2 linked regions of the Diceros bicornis minor genome follow. The protein of the gene in region 1 interacts with the protein of each later gene in a pairwise test. Links are inferred from orthologs where the notes say so. Each region holds a gene or a part of one and is shown in the gene's direction. Other genes may lie near its edges. The genes, in order: LATS1 and MOAP1.

Region 1 (9,016 bases):
AATTAGTCAAAAGAAAATTTTAAGTACTTGTAATCTCAGACAATAGTCTTCATACCCTTTTTTATCCATCAATGTGTATAATTTTTTTGTAAAAATGAAATATATCATACATATTTGTGGATGCACATTCCCTAGCGGTAAACACATGGATTCAATAATAAAGCTATGAATTTTCCTTTGACTTTATATTTCCTTTGTGTGAATGTCTTGCTGCAGCCGTAAGCTGCAGTGTCCCTCTCTTCACCCAGTTACAGGCACCCGCCCATTACAGTCAGCAGGCTAGCATCCTTGCTCTGAGCGGGCCCAGAGTCGATCTCTCTCCTGGAAGACCCTGGCTCCCACATGGCACATTTTCCATGTACAGTGAATAGCAGTCTTGTTGTGCTTCTGCTTTCATCTGCATTATCTGCTGCTGAAAAGTTTGAATGTTTTATATATGTTACTAGCACTCTTCTCAGTTTCCAGGAGCAGTGTATTCAGTTTCCCTTGATGGTTACAGTGAATAATTGGTAGAGGGAGGGAGCCAGACTTGTAGACGTAGAATACTAGCCTGGACTGGAAACAAGTTGTAAGTTTGAAGCTTTGCTTTGATTTAAGGGTATTTGTAACCATAAGTAAAAGAAAGTACATTTGAATACTGTTACATTTCCTATCAATTGATGAGTTCTGCCAGATTTAATAAGAAACATAAGCTTTATGTAGTATAAATAAAACCCTAATTTATGAATTTGTTCATTGTCACCTACTGCCTTCATTCATGAAACTATCAAATAGAGTTTCTTTTGAGGGCTGCAGGATCTCAGAGGTGGAAGGTACCTTGGAGGGCATCTCCAACCTAAATTTAATAATCCTTTCCATAGCATTCCTAACAAATTATCATCCAGCGTCTACTTGGAAATACACTGTGATCAAGTTTCCCATTCCCCAGTGCAGCCTCTCCTTTGGACCACTCTAATTGTTACAGCATTATAGCAGTGTTTTAGTGTGTCAGTGGGATCCAAAACAATCCTGTAAAAAAGGTAGAATCATGTCATTGTGGGTTAACGAAGTGACCACGTGAACCTACTACGAGACAACCAAGTCAGTTCATCAAATCTGCATTATGTTGGGGTACTTTACCATAAGGTTTCAGTAAATAAATGAATTTTCATATACTGAACTGAAATTTGCTTCCATTTGTCTTCTTTCCTCAGGAGCCACAAAAAACATTTAATTCCTCTCATCACACATTCAAATATTCAAAACTACGTATTGTAGCTTCCTTGCAGTAAACCTTTTTGTTTCTTGTGGGCAAGGTTCCTTCCCAGCCTTTCTTGCCTTTCTTGGCTAAATCCTGCTTACGCTTCCAGTCTCCTTTTAGGTGTCATGTTCTCAAGAAAGCGTTCCCTGGCCTCTGACAATCTGAGTTAAATTGTACTCTGCTTCAGAAGCCCATTGTGCAGAGCGTATATACGCTTACAGCTGTGTTAAGCAGCCTGGCTCCCTCTACTGGACCACAAGCTCAAGTACAGAGCCCATGTCTCAGTTTTGTATTAACAATGTTTAACAAAATACCTGATCCATAGTAAGCACTGAATCAGTGTAAATTGAACTGAACTAAACTCACAATCTTGTTTTCTCTTCAAAAAATACTCCCATTTGCCAAAGGTCATCTTTAAAGTGTGACTCCCAAAATGAACACTGTTCTGGGTGGTGTCAGCCTTGCTGAGAATATGACAAAATCCTACTCTCCTGATTTGGGGTATGATATTCCTTTGTACTGCTGTCTCAGCTTATTGTAACTAGTCTGACATTTGTTCACTTAGACTGCTGCTAGTTGAACTGAAACTCTTCAATTTTCAAACATGATACTCCTAAGCCATACTTCCCATATTCTTGAGTTAATGCAGATGGTTTTGATCCTTGCTATAGGTCCATCCTTCTCGTTCCGAGAAGATAAATTTTATTTCAGTATAGGAAAGAAGGAACAACCTCCTTTGAATCTTGTCTGTAGAAGCTGATTATTTTCAGAATTTCCCAGCATGCTTTCTACACTCTCATCCCACTGGTTAGGAGATAGTTAAAGGGACTGAAGGGCTTAGGCCCACTCCTAGAGTCCTCTAAATTACCAGTGACACAAGTTATTGGTATTTGGCTACAGTTACAGAAATATTTGTAAACCAAACCGATTTATTGACATTCTACCCCATTTATCTTGCTGACAAAGCTACCACAAGAAGCATACTAAGTTCACTAGTGTATAGTTAATATCAAACCTTCATTTAAGCTTATGGTATGGATGTGGTATCTAGCTCAGACTAATTATGAAGCAGTAGTGATGCTCTTGTTCTACAGACATAAAACCTGGGGAGACCCAAACAACGATATGAAACTATTGAAACTTATTTCATTGGTATCATTCTGAACCATGATTAACGTTAAGTGGCAATGCAGAAAAACTAACAGCTACATCCTAGACTACGGTCATCTTAGCATCAAAACAATTCCAACATTTCACTACATTAGAGTTGTACAAAGAGGGAGAAAACCACGGGAGGGAGGGTTGAGAAGGGAGAAGTGGAATGACTAGAATTTGCTGATCATGTTAAAAAAAATTTTTTTTTTTTTTTGGTGAGGGCGATTGGCCCTGGGCTAACACCCATGCCCATCTTCCTCTGCTTTATATGGGACGCTGCCACAGCATGGCTTGCCAAGCGGTGCATCAGTGCGCACCCAGGATCCGAATCTGCGAACCCTGGTACTCTGAAGCAGAGCACGTGCACTTAACTGCTGCACCACCAGGCCAGCCCCAACTCTTCACTCCTTAACTGTGGGCTGGTCATGGTCTAGAGCCTTCCCCTAAGGCAGCATGAATTCCCAGGAGGGCTTATGTGTTCAGGGCCACACTGTCTCCAGACTTCTTCCATGTGTACTGTCCCTCTCCCTACAGTCACTCAACCATGAAATCTGGCCCCTACATTTGTTAATAAAAACAAAATGAAACCAAAAAACCCCACTTCAGTGAGGCATTGAGGAGTTGAGTATGCTGAGGCTAAACCAAGGGTTTTCCATCACAGCAGTACAAAGACCTTCAAGTGCAATGGCAGGCACTGCCATTCTTAGACATCCAGCACCCCAGAAACTATTCCCCTGGTCTTTCCCTTCCATGCCCACCCGCAGTCTCAGCTGCTTTCCATCTTGTCAATTCTTCTCTCTTTTCTCTGCCCTTCTCTCCCCCTACTTCACAGGAGTAAGCCTCCTAGTCCTAGAAAGAGCAATTCACTGAGCTCCTTGAATTATCTAGGAATTTCCCTCAACATAGTAGTTTATGGAGATACTCACCTTTAGGCTTAAAAAGAATTGAAGCGGGGCCGCCCGGTGGCACAGCTGTTAAGAGCGTGCGCTCCGCTGCAGCAGCCTGGGGGTGGCAGGTTTGGATCCCGGGCGCGCAGGGACACACCACTTGTTAAGCCATGCTGTGGCAGCGTCCCATATAAAGTAGAGGAAGATGGGCACGGATGTTAGCCCAGGGCCAATGTTCCTCAAGAAAAAAGGGGAGGATTGGCATCGGATGTTAGCTCAGGGCTAGTCCTCCTCACCAAAAAAAAAAAAAAAAAAAGAATTGAAGAGCTGAAATGAAGAAGTTCCATGGGTTGGTGACAGAGGTGACAAGATTCTGAGGGCAGTATGCTCTTCCAGATACATATTGCTTCTGGAAAGGGCAAGCAGGCCTGTGAACATATTAGATTCATATGATTATATATTAGATTCAAAGGTCTTTCTTTCGGGTCAGAAAGACCCGAAAAACAAGGTCTTTCAGTGGCAGAAAGTAAGACCTAGTGCTATTAAGCGGCGCACCTTGGGTCGTATCCTCTACCTTCTACAAACTCTGCTGGTGGAACACAGATGTTCAACCAAGTGCTCTTGGAATGTAACCTTTTCTTTTAACAGAGGTTTTCGTAACAGGGGTTTTAAGAGGGAATTTGAACTTCTGGATACAGTAGTCAGTAACTAGTTTAATATCAAAAAAAAGAAGTCTTTAAAAATTTTATAGACAGTCTCTAGTAGAAAAATGATGAAAGGAGATGTTTGAAAATACTAACTGGAAATACTTTCCAGAGGCAGAACTGGCAGAGGCGCTTTTACAAAGGGTGGCCGGTACCTTCAAACATCATAAACCCAAAGATCCCTTCGCAAACTTCCAACTCAACTTAACAAGAAATAAAACCTCTTCTCGCAGTCACCGTTATTCCGGTTATGACAATAATGCCTTCCTCTTCCACCGATTCGGCTGACATTAAAAATCTCTAGACTCTGTTCATCTGTCCGGGTTCAAGAATATATTAATCTGGCTGATTCAGAAAACACTCACGCTCACGGATTTACTCGGGGGAAGAGTGCTCAACAAAATCAACTTAAGTCAAAGCCTCTGGAAACCGCGACCCCTGAGTCCTCAGCGAGCTCTCAGAGGGCGCCTCATTCCCGTTTCCTTCGGGGAGTCAAGCTCCTCGAGACGCGCATCTTTACCTCCGTCCACAGAAAGGGCTCAAGTGAAGAGAGAGGGAGACTGAAACGTGAGGGCCGGGAGGGGAGAGCCCACCCCGCCGCCCGGGACGAGGCCCCGGGCAGCCACGGCGGGCACGGGCGACACTCGCCGCCCGCAGAGGGGCGCGCGGCCGCCGGAGAGCGGGGGCGGGCGGGAGCTCCCGGGCCGCGGCCCCCGCGCAAGCGACGCCGGGAAATGCCCACATCCGGGAACCCCGCGGCGGAGCGCGGTGGCGGCTGCGAGTGGAAGGCAAGATGGCGGCGGCGGCGGCGGCGGCGGCCTGCTGCTAGGGGGAGAGCCAGGTCTCGCGACCCCGCGACGGGCCGCGCTGGCCCGCGGCACCCCGGCGCCTGTCCCCGCCCTGCCCCACCGGGACACTCGGGGTCCCTCCCGGGCCGCGCCCCCGCCGCCTCGGCGCCCGCCTCGGGCCGTGCCCGCTGTCCGGGAGCCCCGCTCGCCCCTCAGGTAGGTCGGCGGGCGCAGCGGGTGGGGCGCGCTCTCCGCCCGAGCCGAGCTGGCGGGGCCGCGGCCGCCCGGCCCACGCCCATGCCCCTGGCGGGGTCCAGGGCTGCCGCGGCGGGCGGGCCGGCGGCCGGACCTGAGCGGAGCCCGGCCCCGGGAAGCGGGGGTTGGCCGCGCCCGGGCTGGAGGGAGAGCCCCGGGCTTCGCGGCCTGGGAGGTGCGGGTTCGGCTGGGAGGAGCCGGCCCGTCCGCAGGCCCGGCGCGGACTGCTCCCTCCCACCTCCACCCGACCCCCTGCTCGCGCCGGACAGCGGTGATTTGGAAGGAAGGGAGCGAACGGGGGTTCTGCAGGACAACTGCAGCAGAAGAGCCACAGTTGTTCGCGTCCCGGGGGGACCCGATCCTGGACAGACCTGGAAGAAACCCTGGGAACTTCTGTGTCTAGGCCACTGGAGTGCTTGGTTACTGCTCCTGGTTGGAAGGGGTGGGAGAGATGGAGGGGTCTCTATGGAGTAGGAGTGTATATAAATACAGAAGATGAAGGAAAGAAAATTAGGGGAACGTTGTTGATTATAATCTCAAGAAGAACTTGTGTCGCAAAGAATGACTCCCAGGTGACTTGATTTAACCCCATTCTCTGACTTCTCCAATTGAAAGTTATTTTCTAAGGGAACAAAGTTTAACGTTTCTTGGCCCATATGTTAATATGACTTAAAATATATATCATCGTCTGGAAGTTGTTCATAAATTTAGTGAAAAATACGTGTGGCCTTACGCACAAATAGTATTGTATCACTTCAGTTTTGGAAATGGTGTTGAATGCCCGGGATCGTGAAACTTGTCGGGGCTGTATGGATTATTTATTGAAGATTAAAAATTTTTATCAAAATTCTCCATGAGGAAGAAAAGATAGGACATTATAATTGGAATAATTGTTCTCTGCTAAAATACCTACATTTGAGGTCATTTCTGTCCTTTAATAAGTTGACAGACGGTGTAAAATGGGCCAGTTGATTCCCTAAGGCAGTGGAGGAATTTGACTGATTTAACAGTAAAAGTAGCAGCATTGTGTTCCTCTAATCGGCTGCTACTGCAAGAAACTGGATCATGGCACATGCTGGGAAAGGTGCATTCTTTCTGTTCTGAATGTTTATTGAATATGCCTTGCCACTCTCCAAAAGCAAATAAAAAATACGTCTGCTACATTTTTTTGGTATGATATCTGGAATTCCTTCTATAGGTTGAGTTTTTATTTTTGTTTTTAATGCTAGTCCTTGTTATTCTATATAAATATAGCCTTAGAACAGTTCCAGCTCTGGTTTTTCAGTTTTCATTCTAGATGTTGTTTAGATTAGTGGGGGGGGGGGGGTTGTAGACCGAAAAAGTTATTTCGTCATTTGAACAACATTTTTATCAAGTAGAAATGGCAGTCATTTTTCAGCATGAAGAGAGAATATAGTGATTGTTTTCAGTTTTGATCAATTGATTCTTAGTGAATTGAAGAAAATGCCCTCACTTGGCAAAGACTCTTGAATATTGCTGTCTGAACAACTAAGATTATGCTGCTAAGAAAAAAGCCAGACATATTGCTGTTGCTGTTCCCATAACTGATTGAGTCAAAGCGTTGAGACAGGCCATCTTTTTTATAAACCTGATTCAACCCAGGGTAATACTCTGAAGTTTTATTATGTAATGGTATCTGTTTTTTCCCTACGTTGGACAAGTTATCAGTAATATTTGTTTGGATTTACTGACGTTTGCATATTTGATGAAGGTCTGAACTTTCAAAGAGATGGAGGTTTTATCTGTTCAGTCTAATCAATATAAGTGTCCCTTCAAAGAATGAGTGAGTCGTGATCCCTGCCCTTAGGAGAGTCAGGTTGGAGGTATGATGAGAAGAACCCTGGGTGGTTCAGGATGTGTGAAGTCCATTCCTAGCATGACCTCCAGCTGGCTCCATGACCTTAGATAGGCCACTTTACCTCTCTGAATCCATTACTTCATCTGGGGGGAAAAAAATATATATATACACACACACACATATATATATCTGTAAGACACCTTATGCTCTATGAATCTGTGATCTAGTAGGAAAAATAAGACAAGTACAAGAATAGGGCAAAAACGTAAGTTTTATTTGATCATGCAAAGTACATTTGGAGTTCAGAAGAGAAGAATAACAACTGACAGTTCAGTGAAAGCTCGGTGAAGGAGGTATTTGAATGGTACCTTAAAGGTTGGGTATAATTTCTATGAGAAGAAATTTGGCAGGGGCTCTCTCAAGAAGAATAAACAGGATGATTAAGGACATGAAAGTCGAAAAGCACAAGGTATGTTAGCTGAAAGCAAGTCATTTGGCTTGGTTAGAGTATAAGGTACAGAGGGGAGAATCTGGGAGGATAATGGAAAGAGGTAAGGTAATAACTAGCCGTTATTGAGTCGGGCACTTATTCTAAACATTTGATGTGTATTAAACTTACTTAATTTTAATGCTCAAAATAACCCTATTAAATAGGACCATTACTGCCCATATTTGAAAATGAAGGAGCTGAGGCACAGTTTGCCGAGATCACACAGCTGACTAGTGATAGAACTGGGATTCATACCCTCCAGTTTGACTCCAGAGCTCTGACTTCAACTGCTAAGTTAGAGTCATTGAGGGCTCTAGAGTAGGGAAGTGACATGATAACTGTTTTCTAGAAGACTAATCTGGCACCAGTGTAGCATGGGTTAAAGAGTTAAACTGTTTTGCTTTGAAGAGTTCTTTAACAAATTATCCATTATTAATTTGAATTTTCATATTAGCAAGGGTGACTAAGATTTGTTAATGCTAGTGTTGACCATACTTTGTTGGAGAGATTGTAAATTAGTACACCTTTCTGGAAGGCAATCTGACAGTAAGTATCACAATTTTAAATATGCGTTCTCTTTGACCCAGTAATTCCATTTCTGGGAATTTATCTTAAGAGAAATTCTCAACAATATGTGCCTAAGAATTTTTATTGCAGTATTTTTTTATTAACTAATTATGATGTGTACAAGGAATATGTTATGTATAGGTAAGCTGTGAAGCAAAATAAATTGAACATCCATGAACTCACCACCCATCCTCAGAACTAGAATATTACCAATACAATTGAAGTTATCAGTGTTTGAAACATTATCTAGAATAGCAAAAAATTGGAAACAACTTAAATGCCCATCATTAGGGGTAAATTATGGTACATCTACATGATGTAATTTAATACATAGTTATTAAAAACGAGGTTGAATTGTCATATTTTCTCAGTTCCAAGACACCGTTAAGTCTAAAACAAGCCATGTATTTAGTAACAATTTTTCAGGGGAAAGAAAGTAAACATAGTTTTTATTAACCTTCAATAACGTATGTGTATCCATGCAATTGTATACCCTTTTTTTCAGTCACAGTGAAGTTTGAGTCTCAGCCTGCTCATACTCAGAATCTAGGATTCTTCCAAATTACTTCGGGCTGTGGATAGTTGACACATAACCACATGGTGACATGCTGCTTTTCATAACCTGGGCTAATTATCTTGAACCTCTTTATTGTCTTTATGATTGAGTATGTAATTTTGAGGCATAGTGAAGAATACTGGGGTTTCGTCTTTCTTTCCTTTTTGCTTAAACTCTTAGTTTTGTTTTTTCCTTAGTTGAGTGAGTTACTACTGGAAATTAAACACCTTCTTCTGAAGATAAGTCAAAAGGTTTTGATAGATGTTTCATGTCTCAGTGCTTGTACTGTCTCTTACCTTTGAAAATACCGTGATCTTGCCTAAATTTGGCAGTTGTTTATGCCTTTAATTACATTGCCTATTGGGTGACAGCGTTTCTGAGTACATAATGCTACATCGTAGTGGAATCTTTTTGAAGGCATTTTGAGCGTAATCAAGGGTCTAGATTCAACCACGTGTGGTACTGCCAATGAAAATAATACAATTGAAGTGACAAGGCAATTTTGCTGTTTATTTGTGGTCCACTTAGCTCTATGTATTGTCTGCTATCCAGAAC
Region 2 (8,295 bases), on another chromosome or scaffold:
ACTTGTGGTTACCAGAGCTAGAGGGTAGGGGGAGGGGGAACTGGAGGAAGGTGGTCAAAAGGTATAAACTTCCAGTTATGGGATGAATAAGTACTAGGGATATAATGTACAACAGGACTGTAGCTAACACTACTGTATAATATATAGGAAAGTTGTTAAGAGAGTAAATCCTGAGTTCTCATCACAAAGAGAAAATTTTCTTCTTTTTCTTTCTTTTTATTGTGTATCTGTATGAGAAGATGGATGTTAGCTGAATCTACTGTAGTAATCATTTCAAAATATCTGTAAGTCAAACCATCATGCTGTATGCCTTGAACTTATATAGTAATGTATGTCAATTTTTTTCAATAAAACTGGGAAAAATGTTAAAAAAAGAAAAACTGGTAACATCTTTAAAACCAGAAAATTTACGTGCTGACTAAAGCTCTATGAATTAGATGTTTGTTTCTGTGATTCAGTTATCCATTCCCTATCCTGGCACTTTTAAAAAAATAAAATATCTGGCATGTTTCCATGAAAAACACTCAACAGCATTACTTCAAGTGTAGCTGGAAGTAAAATGACTCATTAAACCACTGTGGGATATAACTATTTTTCTCATATATGGAAGCAAATATTGACTAGTTATGGATCCTAGGATGCTTGCCCCTTCCCTAAAATCCCTAAAGCACTCCCTATATTTGCCATTTATCTCACTACCTAGTCTTGTTTTCACTGCTTTTTGTATTGTGATGTGAACATGAAATAAATGACGATCTGCTATAATACATAGGTCTCCTATCCATCAATTTCAACCTCCTCCTCAAATCTAACAGAGCTAGGTTAATTTCACCTTTCCCTCTTTACCAAAAGAGTGCTTTTAACTTTTTTTTGTGAGGAAGATCAGCCCTAACATCCATTGCCAGTCCTTTTTTTGCTGAGGAAGACTGGCCCTGGGCTAACATGCGTGCCCATCTTCCTCTACTTTATACGGGACACTGCCACAGCATGGCTTGACAAGCGGTGCGTTGGTGTGCACCCCGGATCCGAACCCGCAAACCCTGGGCCGCCGAAGCGGAGCATGCACACTTAACCGCTATGCCACCAGGCCGGCCCCATGAACTTTTTTTTTATTATTTTTTGTGAGGAAGATCAGCTCTGAACTAACATCCATGCTAATCCTCTTTTTGCTAAGGAAGACTGGCTCTGAGCTAACATCTATTGCCAATCCTCCTCCTTTTTTTTCCCCCCGAAGCCCCAGTAGATAGTTGTATGTTATAGTTGCACATCCTTCTAGTTGCTGTATGTGGGACGCAGCCTCAGCATGGCCGGAGAAGCAGTGCGTTGGTGTGCGCCCGGGATCCGCACCCAGGCCGCCAGTAGCAGAGCGCACGCACTTAACCGCTAAGCCACGGGGCCGGCCCCCCATGAACTTTTAAATAGCCATAGACAAAATAAGAATAATCCACAACTTGGATAATTAATTCCTAAAGAATCAAAAAATAGATTAACGCTGCAATCTGAAATTCAGTAATTACATCTGAGAATACTGCATTACTCCTACTCTAATTATTTTAATATTTCTTCTACCAAGGCAGTTTGATCTTGAAAGAGAGAGAGGGACTGAGCATTTACTCACCAAATCCCCAAATATTAGAATTTGAAGTATAAGAGAGAAAGTCTACTTCCATAAAAAGGAATTACTACTTTACAAGTGGCAAAGTCACCAACCTCGCAATACATCAAGCATTTACAAAACAAAAAATAATTGAAATAATTTTCTTAATTTCCAAACTATCACTGCCTCAGGACTAATCAAATACAAAAAACTGCTCCATGATTTTCCTCAAATTACCCTCTCTTTTTGAGAAGCAGTATGGTGGAATGACAGAGCTGGAGATGTCAAGCCAGACGTCCTGGCTCAGATCCTGGCTCTCCCACTTACTGCTGTGTGCCCACGGGCAAGTTACTAATTCCTGTGCCTCAGGTTTCCACCTTTCCTCTTCTGTAAAGTGGCACCAGGACCAGTACAGCCTGCCTCACAGGATGCTGGGAATGAATGCAAACCATTCAGAAAATGTTTCCTGCCGCATGCCTACTATCACTAAGTACCCAAAAGATACAAGGGATTTGGTTATCTGACCCTCGCAGAAACACAGGTATTTCAAACTGCTGCTTACATTGAAGATTCAGTGTATTGTAGCGAAAAGTATCATTTCAGTAATTAGACCTTTGGAGGTAGTCAAGAAATGAGATTAATTGGAGGAGGATTTAATCGTGCTCCTTTTCAGTTACAAAGATGCCTGCTTTATTTTTCAAGTAAAAGCTTGCTGTGGAATGCTCAGCCCTCCATTCTGGTCAAATCAGACTTAAAGGTTGAGGTTGCCAGAAAACTTTCAGATTTTCAGTAGCTCATACAAATTGAGAAAAGCCTTCTCAATACTACTGCCATTTCCACTCTTTGACATGGCTAGGCAAACAGTACCTAGTGCTGAAACATCTGTCATTTGCAAGAAGCACTAACAACTCAGTGGTTAGGAACAAAGGAGTCACATGCCTAGTTATGACTCTGGCTCCGCTACTCACCAGCTGTGTGACCTTTGGCAAGTTACTTATCTTCTCCACTTCAGTTTCCTTATCTGTAAAATCTGCATAATAACTGCTATCTCATAGGGTTGTTGGGAGGATTAAATGAATTAATTCATTTAAGCTCTTAGAACAGGGCCCAACAGAGTAAGCCCCCCAAAATATTATGATTATTATTAAAACCTATCACTGTAAAACATTTCCCTGATATTAATGACATAACTGTATAAAAATATATCTTGAGCTCAACCAGGAAAAAAGAAAAAAAATCCTAAAATCTAATATTTCCATTTTTTAGTTATTTGTATTGGCACCAGACATGAGGTAGTACGTACAAATGCAAAGCAGGAAGTACAAGGATCACATCTTCATGCAATTAACCTGTTGTCTGAAGACCAGACCTTAGGCCAGAAAAGAGAATCGGAAGGATGATGACTTGCTGGTATCTTTTAGAGCAGGATCACACATCTGACAGGGACTGGACTAAATATTTTCACTGGACACCTTGTTTCCATCTCCTCTGTGTCAGATTTCTCAACTTGCAAACAGTCTCTTCCCAAGTAGTTTTTTTTTAAACCAGTAGCATTAATAATGCTAGTTAATAATACCAGTAGCATTACCAAAAGGAGGAACCAATTCTGCTTATCCAGACAGCTATCACCTCAGTAATTTTATACCAATTTCTCACAAGCTGATAGCAAGCAAGCATAAATAGTTGGTGTTTTAGTCTGAAGAATTTTAAAGCAAGCCAAGTAATTGTATAAAATTTAAATTTTATCACCATGTTTGGACCTTTTTACATTAAACACAATGGAAATGTTCATACTCATTTTTTCCCCAAAGGAAAAATTTCTGAACCATCACTATGTTGCACAGTAGAATAAAAATATGAGTTCAGGTACTTATTCAAGTTGCTAAAGAATGCAAATAACAGACACGATTTTACTTCCAAAATCTGAAATCATCAACATGATTTTGTAGTATGTATCTCAGGCTTTACCTAAAAATTCTCATTATTATTCAGATAAAGATAGCCCCCTAGTCGCATTTTTTAAAAAGCCTCTGCCCCACCACAACTTCCTGAGATCTGTGAAGAAAGTGCAGTCTTGTGATCAAGTTCCATATGGCAGTTTTGTAATCATAAGGAAAAAACTGTGACTGCTTTCACGTGTCAATCAGTTGTAGTCTGCTGATCTGATTAGAAGCCTTGACAAATGCCTGGTGGCGATTGCAAATAACTGCCAAGCATATGGGGATAATACAGTAGCCCACCGTCTTGGGGTCAGCTCTTGTACAAGAATAAAGGAACAAAAACATCTGTAAGTAAGGTATCAGAAAAATAATTGTCCAAAACCAAAACGGCAGAGAGAATAACCGAGCTTTCAAAGAGTGTGTCCATGTGGTTCCTTCAAGGGGCTCCTCTGGGTGCTGTTGAATGTGTTCCAAGGCCAGCCTGTTGTAAGTCTCATTGATTTCAAAAACATAGTAAAATGCTGCTGCACTTGCTAACAGATACAATCCCACTCCAATCCATCCCATCCGCTGACGGAAGTTCATCATTCTCCATGCTCTGTGCCTTTAAAATAAAAAAAAAAGTTAGGATCTAGTAATGCTGTCACGGCAACTATTCCAAATGTACTTGCTTTATGTCCAAGGAGTTCTAAAGTACCCCACTAAGGCATTTAAGGTTTAAAATAAATTACATTTACAAAGAAATGTAAATAACTTACAGATTGCTGTTTTATGTAATAAGAGGAAGTAAAGTTTTAGTATTCAGTCTGCTTTTTATGTGAATCCCACAGAATAAATAAATCACTATATCCAGCTTAATAGGTCCAGCACATCTTCCATTAAGAAATTGGAATTAAACTAGTTTCCTACGGAACAATTCACTTTTACAGTTAAAATACTTGAACAGTATTGCTTCAGACGTGAACACTTAGTTCTACAAGTCAAACCAACGTCAAGGCCCCCAAGTTAAGACAGTAACTCTTAAGCACTTACAATGGTCCCGAAAATCTTCCTGTTCCCACGGCAAGCGTTAAAGAGTCACTCAGTTCTGAATAATCGGGTGGCTTTGGCATTTCACAGAAAGCCACCATAAAAGAAATCTCCGGGGTCACCGGCTGGGAGAAAGGTGAGCGCGGCCAGCCTGGAGCACAAGCTAATTGTGATTAAGCAGAGCGTGACTGCGGCCGGTCACGCGGCGGCCCGGCCCCGGCCGCCGCCACCGCCGGAGCCCCAGCCCGTGTCACCCGGCCCGGCCCGACGCTCCCCAGCCACCCGGGCCTCCCTGCGGCCGTCCCGCCCCCTGCCGCGCTGCAGCGCCGGCCGGCCGCGACAGGCTGCGCGGGCGGCGCCAGGCCCAAGCCTCTCCGCCTCGCAGCGCCGGGAGCCCCGTGCCGGGCGGCCGCCGCCGGCCGAGCCTGCAGGGCTGGCAGGTCCCGGATCTCACCTTCCTGTCCGGGTTAGCCCGCCCGCCCGCGGTCCCGGACGCTGCCGCAGTCGGGGCTTCCGGCTCGAGCCGGAAGCGCGCGCCCCGCCCCGAAAGGCCCGCCCCGTCGTGACGTCGGGCCTTCGCCGGCGGTGCGGGTCGGGACGCGGGACGCTGCGGCGGCGCGGGTGGGGGCCCCTCCCCTCAGGTGCGCCCCGCCGCCTCGGCGCTCCTCGGGCTCGCCCCCCGGTGCCTCGCTCGCCGCCCTGATCGCCCGGCGCTCCTCGCCGCGCAGAGCGCCAGCCCTCCTCCGCGCCTCTGCCCAGCCCCGGGAGCCTCTCGAGTGTCCATCGAGTGCAGGAGACGCCGCGCTCCCGCTCCTCGGGCCTGGCCGCCGGCGGACGCAGACACCGGCGACTAGATCACCGGCGAGGGGACGCGGCCCCGCCGTCGGCTGCGGGCGCCCCAGGCCGAGGAGCGGGTGAGATGGCTGCCGGCCGCGGTGCGGCCGGCGCGGTGCGCGGGGCTTCTCGGGCCCGGGCCTGGACCCCTGCGACTAACCCGGCCGCGCTGTCCCCGCAGGCCGCCGAGCTCAGGACGCTGGCGGGACTTACCTGGGGTACCGCGGAGGAAGTGCGGTGGCATCGGTGCCCCGACATTTCAGTCTCTTGTTTGGGGCATCATGACGCTGAGGATCTTGGAAGACTGGTGCAGGGAGATGGATGTGAGCGCTCGGAAAGCGCTGCTGATCGCCGGCATCCCCCAGACCTGCAATGTGGCGGAGATCGAGGAGGCCCTGCGGGCTGGCCTAGCTCCCTTGGGCGAGTACAGACTGCTCGGCAGGATGTTTAGGAGGGACGAGAACAGAAATGTAGCCTTAATAGGTCTTACTCAGGAGACTAGTCATGCTCTGGTCCCTAAGGAGATACCTGGGAAAGGGCGTGTCTGGAGAGTGATCTTTAAGCCCCCTGACCCAGATGATGCATTTTTAAGCAGATTAAATGAATTCTTAGAGGGAGAGGGCATGACATTGGGTGAGTTCACCAGAGCTCTTGGGTATGGAAACGACCCTTTTGACCTAGACCAGGACATGAGCCCAGAAATACGGGCCCCTATGTTGGCACAGGCATTTCTTGAGGCTCTTCAGCCTGCCCTGCAGTACCTGAAATACACAAAGCTGAGAATATTCTCGGGCAGTGATCCTCCAGAACCAGACGAAGAAGAATTTGAATCCTGGCTGATTCATACTACTCACATGATGAAGGCATGGCAGGTTTCAGATGCAGAGAAAAGAAGGCGATTGCTGGAGAGCCTTAGAGGCCCAGCATTTGATGTCATTCGTGTCCTCAAGATAAACAATCCGTTAATTACGGTCCCTGAATGCCTGCAGGCTCTTGAGCAGGTATTTGGGGTTACTGATAATCCTAGGAAGTTGCAGGTCAAATATCTAACCACTTACCAGGAGGAAGAAAAATTGTCTGCTTATGTACTAAGGCTGGAGCCTTTATTACAGAAGCTGGTAGAGAGAGGAGCAATTGAGAGAGAAGTTGTGAATCAGGCCCGCCTGGACCAAGTCATTGCTGGAGCAGTCCACAGAAGGCTGCGCAGGAAGCTTGCTCTGCCAGAGAAGGGCCCAGCCCCTGGCTTATTGCAGTTACTGACACTGATAAGGGATCAAGAGGCAGCTGAGGAGGAGGCGGCCCTTCTCCAGGCAGGATTGGAGGGGCATTTCACCTGAATCTTAGGAAACCAGGAAGGGGTATCGGACGGTGAGCAGAGCATGGAGGTAGAATGGTCCATATACTCCAGTGATAGACATTACCCAGTCCCTACCTTGTGCTGCCAAATAACTCATTTTTGTACAGTTCTCAGTATAAATTCTTTGTCATTTCTATGCCTATTTAATGTCTCTTAAATGTGTCATTGACTAGGAAGGCTATAGTTCTGCACTGGTATTAATGTATTTATTTTCACCCCCGTGAATTTTTTATCATACGAAATTGTACAAAAGGTCTGTCACTACATATGTGTGATGCTCTGAGAGGACCACGAGGCTCAGGTGCAGATGCTCACTGGATCTCGTTGAGATCTCAGCTGTGTGAACAGGTGCAAGTGTAGCATGTCGGATATGATAATGTTGTATCATAGATAGTTTTTAGTTATGTATTGCCCTCCATTTATCATGAAGATCGTGAGCAGTGGTTAAGATACTAAGTTATTTTCTGTGTGAATCAGAATTTTATTGATTTTGTTCAATCAAAACAAGAATTAAATGCTGAGGTTGATAAGTTTGCAGCTGCTATCTCTAACACCGGGATTTCTGATATGTGTCATCCGGACATCTAGTTCTGAATATCGTTTTTTATAAGTGTTCTAAAACTATAGGTGTGGGGGCCAGCCTGGTGGCGCAAGTGGTTAAGTGTGCATGTTCTGCTGCCGCGGCCCGGGGTTCGCAGGTTCGGATCCCGGGTGCGCACCGACGCACCGCTTGTTAGGCCATGCTGTGGCGGCGTCCCATATAAAGTAGAGGAAGATTGGCATGGATGTTAGCCCAGGGCCAGTCTTCCTCAGCAAAAAAGAGGAGGATTGGCATTGGATGTTAGCTCAGGGCTGGTCCTCCTCACAAAAAAAAAATAAAATAAAAATAAAACTATAGGTGTGAACTTATAAAATAAAGGAATGCTAATAAAATGACCTCTTTTTTTTTTTTTTAAAGATTTTATTTATTTTCCCCCCAAAGCCCCAGTAGACAGTTGTATGTCATAGCTGCACATCCTTCTAGTTGCTGTATGTGGGACGCGGCCTCAACATGGCCGGAGAAGCGGTGCCTCGGTGCTAGCCCGGGATCTGAACCCCGGGCCGCCAGCAGCGGAGCGCGCGCCCTTAACCACTAAGCCACAGGGCTGGCCCTAAAATGACCTCTTTTATCTGTTTTGTTTATATCGAAGTTCCAAGAGAGAGTTCCTTTGAACAAAGGGTGCCAAAAGCATGAATCTGAAAACCACTGAATTTACACAATCTTAGTCTCTTGGACCCTTTTCCTCATGATGCCCAGGGGGTAGGAAGTAGTTTTCTAAGTGAGATTGCTGGAGGGACCTTCTGCTCAAGTACATGGAATGAAATAAGACAGACACAAATTAGTGTAAGCAGTGGGTCCAGATGCATCAGTGCATTGAATTTGGAGGGTCAAAGGAAGGAAATGGACATTGCATTCCACTGCATGGCAGGCTGGACTAAACATTTTTCCATGTACTTTCTCAATCCTCTTAAAAATCCTGCAATATAGGAAAACTCAG

What was found.
Region 2: the proteins of LATS1 (region 1) and MOAP1 interact in a two-hybrid assay, tested with the Homo sapiens proteins (2 studies listed by BioGRID and IntAct). The two-hybrid records come from large-scale screens. The link is inferred for Diceros bicornis minor from reciprocal best matches to the Homo sapiens genes LATS1 and MOAP1.

The regions. Positions count from the first base shown.
Region 1 is NC_080778.1:28,143,293-28,152,308, reverse strand, and holds the start of LATS1 (serine/threonine-protein kinase LATS1), read left to right. Parts: upstream 1-4,816; 5' UTR 4,817-4,990; intron 4,991-9,016. UniProt on the Homo sapiens protein: Negative regulator of YAP1 in the Hippo signaling pathway that plays a pivotal role in organ size control and tumor suppression by restricting proliferation and promoting apoptosis.
Region 2 is NC_080763.1:38,850,085-38,858,379, reverse strand, and holds MOAP1 (modulator of apoptosis 1), read left to right. Parts: upstream 1-5,681; coding exon 5,682-6,737; 3' UTR 6,738-6,899; downstream 6,900-8,295. Other genes in the region: LYSET (lysosomal enzyme trafficking factor), read right to left, coding at 3,730-4,141, 4,570-4,717, 5,614-5,644.